Oryctolagus cuniculus: one gene and its partner. The protein of the gene in region 2 interacts with the protein of the main gene of each other region in a pairwise test. Links are inferred from orthologs where the notes say so. Each region holds a gene or a part of one and is shown on either strand. Other genes may lie near its edges.

Region 1 (5,023 bases), on a different chromosome or scaffold from region 2:
ACAGTTCATTCTATACAGGGGCCAGACCCACAGCACACAGGTTCATTCTATACAGGGGCCAGGCCAGACCCCACAGCACACAGGTTCATTCTATACAGGGGCCAGGCCAGACCACACAGCACACAGTTCATTCTATACAGGGGCCAGGCCAGACCCACAGCACACAGTTCATTCTATACAGGGGCCAGGCCAGACCCCACAGCACACAGTTCATTCTATACAGGGGGCAGACCCACAGCACACAGTTCATTCTATACAGGGGCCAGACCCACAGCACACAGTTCATTCTATACAGGGGCCAGGCCAGACCCCACAGCACACAGGTTCATTCTATACAGGGGCCAGGCCAGACCCCACAGCACACAGTTCATTCTATACAGGGGCCAGGCCAGACCCCACAGCACACAGTTCATTCTATACAGGGGCCAGGCCAGACCCACAGCACACAGTTCATTCTATACAGGGGCCAGGCCAGACCCCACAGCACACAGTTCATTCTATACAGGGGGCAGACCCACAGCACACAGTTCATTCTATACAGGGGCCAGACCCACAGCACACAGTTCATTCTATACAGGGGCCAGGCCAGACCCCACAGCACACAGGTTCATTCTATACAGGGGCCAGGCCAGACCCCACAGCACACAGTTCATTCTATACAGGGGCCAGGCCAGACCCCACAGCACACAGTTCATTCTATACAGGGGCCAGGCCAGACCCACAGCACACAGTTCATTCTATACAGGGGCCAGGCCAGACCCCACAGCACACAGTTCATTCTATACAGGGGCCAGGCCAGACCACACAGTTTATTTTGCACAGAGGGTGGGGCCAGACCCCCAGCACACAGTTCATTCTGTACAGTGGGTGGGGCCAAACAGCCCGGGGGGTCTGCTGGTGGCTCGGGTGCTTACCCTCGGGTAAAAACAGGCTCAGGTCATGCTCCCGGGGAGAACCAGCCCCACCCCGTGCTGCTCAGTCCTGACAGCTCGTGCTGGGCACGGCCAGGCTGCGTCAACAGCCGTTCTGTGAAGGGGCACAGCCCAGGAGGAGCCTGGCCACTGGTGCAGGGCTGTCTTGTCTGGAGGCTCACTTCTGCCTCAGCTTTTTGATGAAGGAAACCTCGTCCCGATTGCGGATCCCGTAACTGAAAGGACAAAAGGCGCAGTGTCTGACTGCAGGTGGGTGTGTAAGTCCCCACCGCAGGGGTGTGGGAGACCCCGAGTGAGCCACAGGTGAGGCGTGCGCGCCCGCCCGCAGGCCCGAGAGGAGCAGCCGGCCGCGGTTCACTTGCACGCGTCGCCCCGAGCTGTGCAGCCCTGAGCCACGGCTGGAGAGAACCAGCAGTGCCCATGCTCTGCTCCGCTGCCTGCCATCTCCTGAGCCCCGCGGAGGCAGCAGACCACGTGACCCCTCCCTGGACTTACTCGCGGAGCTTCTTCCTGTCCTCTGTGAGCTTCTCTCCCGCAGAGGTCAGGTGGTACGTCCTCCACACGTAGGACCTGCACGGGGGGCCTCAGGTAAACTCCCGAGCAGGCCGAGCGCGGCAGCTCGGGGGGACAGTGCCGTGGGGCCTGCCAGAGGGGCAGAGGGGCAGCTGGGCCCCGCACACCTCGCGAAGGAGACAGACGGCAGTGCTGAGCTGCTGTGAGGACACGCGACTCAGCAGGACAGCGAGGCCAGCAGTGTCTGAGGAAGGGACAGGGCCACGGATGGTGCTCCAGCTGTCACCAGCGTAGGCCATGGACGGTGCTCCAGCCGACACTGGGGAGGCCACTTCTGGACACACTAGTGTCCTAAGTGTCCCCAAGTGAAGGTATCAGCAGCTCAGCTGGGTGACATGACGAGAGACGTGTAAGAGCAGCGGAGGGAGCTTTCCTGCAGGCCCCTGTGACGGGCCGTGACGGGGCTGCTGTCCCACTCACCAGCTGATGTGCTGAATGCCCCCTTCTCGCTCCTGCTTGAGCTGCACGTATCTCTGGATGGCCTTCTTCAGGTCCAGGACCGTGGCGTTCTGCACCACGACCACAGCTGCAGGGAGAAGACGTGGGGTGGGGATTCACAGCCCTGGCTTCCGCCTGCGGGTTTCCCGACGGCCAGGCCCGCTACCATCTGAAGCGGAGAGCGGCACTCACGCATGACTTCTCCGTCCATCTTGGACACTCGGACCGTCATCGCTTGGCCGTATTCTAGTGCAATCTGGGAGTTGATCTCTTCCAAAGTCACCTAGAAAGCGCCAAGCAGGGGCAGTGGGAACCCTGGCTTTGTTTATCAGCCCAAACGGAACCAAACTTTATGGAGGGCCGGGGGAGGGGCTCCCTTTAGCACCTCAGTCTCAGGTTCCACCCGACTTCTCTATTTCATGCCGAATGGCTGTGGAAGCAGGGAGAGTGAGCCCCCAGGGGCTGCTGGGGGGGGAGGAGGGAGACGCTGGGCCTTTCAGTTTGCCCAAGAGCCCCTGGTCACCAGGATCCAGGCCAGAGCCCTGGACTAAGTGGGAGGCATGTGTGCAAAATACACAAGGCAGGAACACACGGCAGTGATAAGACTGCAGTATAACACTTTTCTTAGAGGAAATTCGCCTCTGCATCTACTTATTTGACGGGGGCGGGGCGGGGAGGAAGGAGAGGGGAGAGAAACACGAGTCTTCCATCCGCAAACGGCCCCAGCACCCAGGGCTAGGCCACGCCGAAGCCAGGGGCCGGGAGCCTCACCGGGCCCCAGGCACTGGGCCGCCCTCCGCCGCTCCCCGAGGAGCGCTGGCAGGGAGCCGGAAGGGAGCGGAGCAGCCGGAGCTCCCATTCTTCAACTGTCCTTTACCGACAACCTTCTGCATCAAGTTTGGCACCGTTTCCCCTGCCCCTTCACGCCGGGCCCGGACCAGGCCGGCCGCAGTCCCCCATCAGCACCTCTCCGGCGGCAGGTGGCCGCTCTGGCCGCGCGCACCTGGATCGGCAGGTCGCAGAGCAGCGGGTCCTGCACCACCATGGCGAGACCCTCCTGGAACACGTCCACCGCTTCCGAGTGAGGCAGCGTCTCCTCTTCGTCCTCATCCTCCTCCGGCACCTCGGGCCCCTCGGCCTCCTCGGCCTGCTCCGCTGCCTCCACGGTCGCCAGCCCGGAGCCGCCGGCCGCCGGCCCAGCCACTCCACGCTCGGGAGGCGGAGCACGGACGCGGACTGGGCCCACCTCCGTGAGGACGTCCAACCACCGGCGGGCCAAGGGGCGGGGCGGGCGCCCCAACCAATGGGAGTGCGAGGCGGCTTGCCGCAGGGCCGGCTGGGAGCGAGGGTCGGCGTGTCTATTGGTGGGCTAGCGGCGGGGGCCGCCGGGACCAACGTGAGGTCGAGGTGGGCGGGGTGTCGGCGTCGCGCGGCCAGGGAGCTTCCGGCCGTGGGGGCGCGCGGGCCAGGGCGCCGCCATGCTGCTGTTCTGCCCCGGCTGCGGGAACGGGCTGATCGTGGAGGAGGGCCAGCGCTGCCACCGCTTCGCCTGCAACACCTGCCCCTACGTGCACAACATCACCCGCAAGGTGGGCCTCGACGTTAGGGTCGGCCTCCGGCGGCCCCGGCCTCGCGTCCCTGGCCTGTGGGCGCATCTGTCCAAGACGCGCGCACGCCGGCGCCTCTCGCCTGGCCCGGCCGCCGCCTCCCTTCTGGGGCTGGTTTCGGAGTCGCCTGGTCGGGGCAGGGCGGCGGCTCCAGCTCCGGCCGCGGCCGCCCTCGGTGCCGCTCCGCGTCCCGCGTGGCGCCCGGCGTTCCTCGGGCGGCCTCCGTTTACTCGCGCTCCCTGGAGTGCTCCCGCCCCCCTCGGTCCCTTCTGCTGCCTTGTGGTCCGAGCGCGGTCCAGGGCAGAAGGCCTCGGCAGGCCTCCTTCCCTGTGTTTGTCCGGCCGCCTGGCTCGCACCTGGAGCCCCGGGGTGTCCAGCCGGCGAGCCGCGCGCACTGGCCTGGCACCCACCTGGAGCCCCGGGGTGTCCAGCCGGCCAGCCGCCCGCACTGGCCTGGCACCCACCTGGAGCCCCGGGGTGTCCAGCCGGCCAGCCGCCCGCACTGGTCTGCCGTGCACCTGAAGCCCCGGGGTGTCCAGCTGGCGAGCCGCGCGCACTGGTCTGGTGTGCACCTGGAGCCCCGGGGTGCCCAGCCGGCGAGCCGCGCGCACTGGCCTGGCACGCACCTGGAGCCCCAGGGTGTCCAACTGGCGAGCCGCCCGCACTGGCCTGGCACCCACCTGGAGCCCCGGGGTGTCCAGCCGGCGAGCCGCCCGCACTGGCCTGGCACCCACCTGGAGCCCCGGGGTGTCCAGCCGGCCAGCCGCGCGCACTGGTCTGCCCTGCACCTGGAGCCCCGGGGTGCCCAGCCGGCGAGCCGCCCGCACTGGCCTGGCACCCACCTGGAGCCCCGGGGTGTCCAGCCGGCGAGCCGCCCGCACTGGTCTGCCGTGCACCTGGAGCCCCGGGGTGTCCAGTTGGCGAGCCGCGCGCACTGGTCTGCCCTGCACCTGGAGCCCCGGGGTGTCCAGCCGGCGAGCCGCCCGCACTGGCCTGGCACCCACCTGGAGCCCCCGGGTGTCCAGCCGGCCAGCCGCCCGCACTGGTCTGCCGTGCACCTGAAGCCCCGGGGTGTCCAGCTGGCGAGCCGCGCGCACTGGTCTGGTGTGCACCTGGAGCCCCGGGGTGCCCAGCCGGCGAGCCGCGCGCACTGGCCTGGCACGCACCTGGAGCCCCAGGGTGTCCAACTGGCGAGCCGCCCGCACTGGCCTGGCACCCACCTGGAGCCCCGGGGTGTCCAGCCGGCGAGCCGCCCGCACTGGCCTGGCACCCACCTGGAGCCCCGGGGTGTCCAGCCGGCCAGCCGCGCGCACTGGTCTGCCCTGCACCTGGAGCCCCGGGGTGCCCAGCCGGCGAGCCGCCCGCACTGGCCTGGCACCCACCTGGAGCCCCGGGGTGTCCAGCCGGCGAGCCGCCCGCACTGGTCTGCCGTGCACCTGGAGCCCCGGGGTGTCCAGTTGGCGAGCCGCGCGC
Region 2 (4,888 bases):
CTGTTACCTTCCAGCCCAAGAGGGCAACTGGGAGGCTTTTGCAGTACATTGTTTTTAAACATTAAGGGAACAAGCACCACTAGGGTCTTACCATAAACTGTATAAAGCTGGGGACCAAGGTACATGGTCCAGCTTGGGGCAAATCAGTAACATGCTTGAAACATTCTAAAACACGATTTGTAATGGATATCTTCCAACCAAGCCAGTGTCTAACACCCTAGCCAGACAAGGGTTTTTGCCATTTTGTAGCAGTTTCCAGATTTCACTAAAACCAGCTTTGCCAAAAATTAACTCATGTATGGGGGGAGGGGGGAAGAGTGCCCGTTCCTTTACTTTCCACAAGACATAAGGCATTCAAAATCTACATTTTCTTCAACTTGCCCAGTATCAAAAATTCTACGTCATTTGTATAAATGTCTATTAGAATCTAAATACTCCTTTTGGCCTCTCAGATCATTTTTTTTTTTAAAGTTCTTTTTAAATTAAAGAGAACAAATTGCTAAGATCAATGTCAACCCTAACAGAGCAGTGAATACTGGACAGTATTCACCTATGAGTAATATCGTTTAAAAACTTAAAATCTTACTTCCTCAGACCAAATGTGGCTAGTGATCAAGGACCCTGTTCTGCCTATTTCCCAAAGTCAATCAGTACCACTGTTATCAGTCCATAGATAAGGAATTACACACAGAGAGAAAAGTTTCATTAAAGACAGAAAAGAACTAGAGGGCTTTATTTTCCTGTTATCTTGTAAAGAAAAACAAAAGAACCCACAGGGCCAGCGCTGTGGTGCAGCAGGTTCACAGCCTGTCCTAAAGCACCGGCATCCCACATGGGCACCGGTTCAAGACCTGGCTGCTCCACTTCCAATCCAGCTCTCTGTTACGGCCTGGGAAAGCAGAAGATGGCCCAAGTCCTTGGGCCCCTGCAACCGCATGGGAGAACTGGAAGAAGCTCCTGGCTTCAGATCAAATAGGCGCAACTCCAGCCATTGCAGCCAACTGGGGAGTGAACCATCAGATCATCAGATGGAAGCCCTCTCTCTCTCTCTGTGTAACTCTTTCAAATAAATCTCTAAAAAAAAAAAAAGAAAAAGAAAAAAAAAAAGGAAAAAAACAAAACCCATACAAAGAATTGGTAAAAGTCTGAGTTAAAGGACATCGAAAACTCAGGAAAGCAATGGTCTTGTAACTAAATGAACATTCTAAACTCTTCTCTTTGATCCATAATTATTTGACTTGTCCAAACTTAGAAAAACATCATGTATTTAAGTAGTCATATGTAGATGATGCCAGTTTAACAAGGACGTAGGAAAACAGCTATTAAAAATATACAACATTCTGAGCCGGCGCCGTGGCTCAATAGGCTAATCCTCCACCTAGCGGCGCCGGCACACCGGGTTCTAGTCCTGGTTGGGGCGCCGGATTCTGTCCCGGTTGCCCCTCTTCCAGGCCAGCTCTCTGCTATGGCCAGGGAGTGCAGTGGAGGATGGCCCAGGTGCTTGGGCCCTGCACCCCATGGGAGACCAGGAAAAGCACCTGGCTCCTGGCTCCTGCCATCGGATCAGCGCGGTGCGCCGGCTGCAGCGGCGGCCATTGGAGGGTGATCCAACGGCAAAGGAAGACCTTTCTCTCTCTGTCTCTCTCTCTCACTGTCCACTCTGCCTGTCAAAAAAAAAAAAAAAAAAAAAAAGAAAAATATACAACATTCTCTGGTGAAATGAAAACATAAAGAGACAATCACTTCCAACTTAGGATATGTGAATGGGTCTACATCTGCTTTTTAGCTACTTTGCCCAATGTTCTTTACCCTTTCCTCCCGAGAACAATACACAAAATTTATTACATTAAAATGTCGATGTACTTCTCAAGACCGGAGTCAAGCTACTTATAAAAGACTCAACTCAAAAGCAATTGCAATGGAGCAAAACTGAACGTTAAAGTATCTCAAGTGCAGTGCCTTCGTACCTTCATGCTGGAGAGGACACTTCTCCAGCTAGTCTGCCAGACCAAACAGCTATCAACATTGTTCTCACCAACCCGCAGCAAACATAATTCCGATTTTTAAGTGTGCTAAGTCTTTGAGGAGACTGCCACCCAACTTTTGCTTCCTTGGGGAGCAAGTTCCACAGGTTGATTCACCATTCTATTACAGTTGATTTTTATATGCTCTTAAATCAAACCCTTCAAAATTAAGCCTGAAGGTTCAAATTAACATTAAGCAGAATACTCAGTAACCTTTAAAGTCTCCGCTAGGGGGAAAATTTCGGACTCCAGAGTTGTGTTCAAGACTCGGACTGGCACAGCTTGGCACTGGCACATCGTGAAACCAGTGCGAGTTACTGGAGATGATTCCTCGGCCGATCGAGGAAAAGCCCAAAGCTCCCAAGGACCACCGCCACCCTCTCACCTGGTTGAACTCCTCATCAGCGTATATATCAATCAAGTCCACTCCTTCTGACATGGCTCCGAAGGAAGCTCTCGAGCCCGGAGAATGGACAAAGTAAGAAAGACGCCACTGTGGTAGTCAGAAGAGGGCAACAATTAGAAGGCACGACGGGCCCGGCCCGAGCGCAGGGCGATGGTTGCCCACATCCCGTCTCCAGAGACGCAGCATCCCGGCCGCCCGAGCCCGGCCCCACCCGCCCCGCCCCGCCCCCGGCCTCGCGCCGCCCCCCCGCTCTCCCAGGCCGCCCGGGCTCGCGGGGCGCGCTGCCCATCACCCTCGGGCCCGGCGCGGGGGGCGCCGCGTCGGCGCCGCAGCTGCCGGTGGCGCGACAGGCTAGTCCAGGCCTCGGCTCCCAAGGGCCTTCGGGCAGGGCTGCGAAGAACACGGCGGCGATGCCCGCAGGCCCAGCCTGCCCGCACCTGCCCAGGCCCCGAGGCGACCCCGGCCTCAGCGCCTTTGGGTCCCAGAGCTCCATCCGCCTCCGCCTCTCATCCCGGCCCAATCCTCGCCCCCGGCTAGGCCTGTCCCACTCCCTCCCCACAGACCCGGCCCGGCGCGCTTGGCCCCTCCCTCAAGGACCCGCACCTCCCTCCGCTCGCTGACTCCGGCCGCCCTAAGCTCAACCGACCCCCTCCCCGCCTCAGCGTCGGTCCCGGCCCTTCTTCCGGCCCAGCCGGCCCCCGGCCGCGCGCCCCCGTTACCGGGAATATGGCGGCAGCGGCGGCAGGTCCGGACTAGGCCCGAAGCGCGCGAACCGCTCTCCGCCCCAGGTCCCGCCCCCCCGCCGGCGGCGTCACACGCAGCGCCACTTCCGCCAGACGCAAGGACGCATCTTCCGGCTCAAGTATTCTGCGGCGGCTGAGCTTCGCTAGTCCAGACGTCAGGAGTTCCCGGAAGTAGTCCAGAGGGGACTTCCGGTGCGGGTTGGGAAAAATGGCGGTGGTCCCTGCGTTCCCGGCTTTGGCGCGGGTGAGGAACGCGGAGGTTCCAGGGGCTGGGGCCGGGGCCGGGGGCCAGCAGTATCAGGGACTAAGTTTCGTTTTCTGGGGTCATGGAGACAAGCGGGAGCGTTCAGCTGTCCTGTAGCCCAGGGCAAAGGGAGGCCAAGGAGAGGCCGATCCTGCTGCTGAAGAAATTCAGATCGCTTCCCTGCTTTGGTGAGCCTGCTGTGTGCTCACCTGGTAGTATCTGGCTGAAAAGTCAGTCCGCGAGGGCACCCGTTTCTGTCCTCCTCTGTCCTCTGAGCGCCCTCTCTGCCTGTTTCTTAAGTCCTTTTAAATGCCTACCCTGATTTCACAGTCTCCTCTTTATATTGCTTTTTGATGTAGGCATTTACCACCATAAACTTCACTCTTAGAACTGCTTTTGTTACATCTCATAATTTCTTGTATGTTGGATTTTAGTGTTTGTTTTAAGACGTCTTCTGAGTTCCCTTTTGATTCCATCTTTGGCCCGTTGATTTTTCAAGGAATGTGTTAATACTACGTATTTGTGAATTTTCATTTTTCTTTCTGCTTTTGATTTCGAGTTTTATTCCATTGAGGTTAGAAAAGATCATCTGGTGTGCTTCATTAAGCCTTCTTAAATTTGCTGAGACTTGTTTTGTGATGAAATATGGGATCTATCCTGGAGAATGAACGTATTCTTGAGAGGAATGTGTGTTTTGCTTGTGTTGGGTAGGATGAAGGGTATATATCTGTTAGGTCTTTTGCTCTGTAGTATTGTTAAGTCTTCTATTTCCTTATTGACCTGCTGTTTGGATGTTCTGGCCATTTTTAAAATTACTATATTGCTCTCTGTTTCTTCCTTCAGTTCTGTTTGCTTGTGTATTTGGATGCTCTGATGTGGTTGGGTGCATCTGGTTATAGTTAGACCTTTCTGGACAATTGATTTAGAACATTATATTTGTTTAATGTCTTTTGTGTCATGTGACAATTTTGACTTAAATCTGTTTCGTCTGATGTAAGTATGGTCATCCCTGCTGTGTGGAATTTCATTTCTATTCTTTCAGCCTATGTGTGTCCTTAAATCTCTCTTTTTTTAAAAGATTTATTTTATTTATTTGAAAGAGTTAGAGAGGTAGAGACAGAGAGAGAGGTCTTCCATCCACTGGTTCACTCTCCAGATGGCTGCAACGGCCAGAGCTGTGCTGATCCGAAGCCAGGAGCCAGGAGCTTCTTCTGGGTCTCCCATGTGGGTGCAGGGGCCCAAGGACTTGGGCCATCCTCTACTGCTATCCCAGGCCATAGCAGAGAGCTGGATCAGAAGAAGAGCAGCCGGGACTAGAACCGGTGCCCACATGGGATGCTGGCACTTCAGGCCAGGGCTTTCACCCACTGTGCCACAGCGGCAGCTCCTGTCTTTAAATCTAAAATGAATCTCTTAGAGACTATGTATCATTTTTTTGTTTTGTTTTTCATTCAGCTACCCTTGTCTTTTG

Evidence for each region.
Region 1: the proteins of CPSF7 (region 2) and SNRNP25 interact in binary tests that used the Homo sapiens proteins (3 or more experiments, as listed by UniProt). The two-hybrid records come from large-scale screens. The link is inferred for Oryctolagus cuniculus from reciprocal best matches to the Homo sapiens genes CPSF7 and SNRNP25.

What each region holds. Positions count from the first base shown.
Region 1 is NC_091450.1:34,568,153-34,573,175, forward strand, and holds SNRNP25 (U11/U12 small nuclear ribonucleoprotein 25 kDa protein), read right to left. Parts: upstream 3,221-5,023; 5' UTR 2,989-3,220; coding exon 2,947-2,988; intron 2,227-2,946; coding exon 2,136-2,226; intron 2,032-2,135; coding exon 1,926-2,031; intron 1,503-1,925; coding exon 1,428-1,502; intron 1,148-1,427; coding exon 1,090-1,147; 3' UTR 778-1,089; downstream 1-777. Other genes in the region: POLR3K (DNA-directed RNA polymerase III subunit RPC10), read left to right, coding at 3,422-3,532.
Region 2 is NC_091432.1:10,749,946-10,754,833, reverse strand, and holds the start of CPSF7 (cleavage and polyadenylation specificity factor subunit 7), read right to left. Parts: upstream 3,286-4,888; 5' UTR 3,150-3,285; exon of another isoform or gene 3,034-3,149; intron 3,014-3,033; exon of another isoform or gene 2,868-3,013; intron 2,518-2,867; 5' UTR 2,464-2,517; coding exon 2,410-2,463; intron 1-2,409. Other genes in the region: SDHAF2 (succinate dehydrogenase assembly factor 2, mitochondrial), read left to right, coding at 3,382-3,417.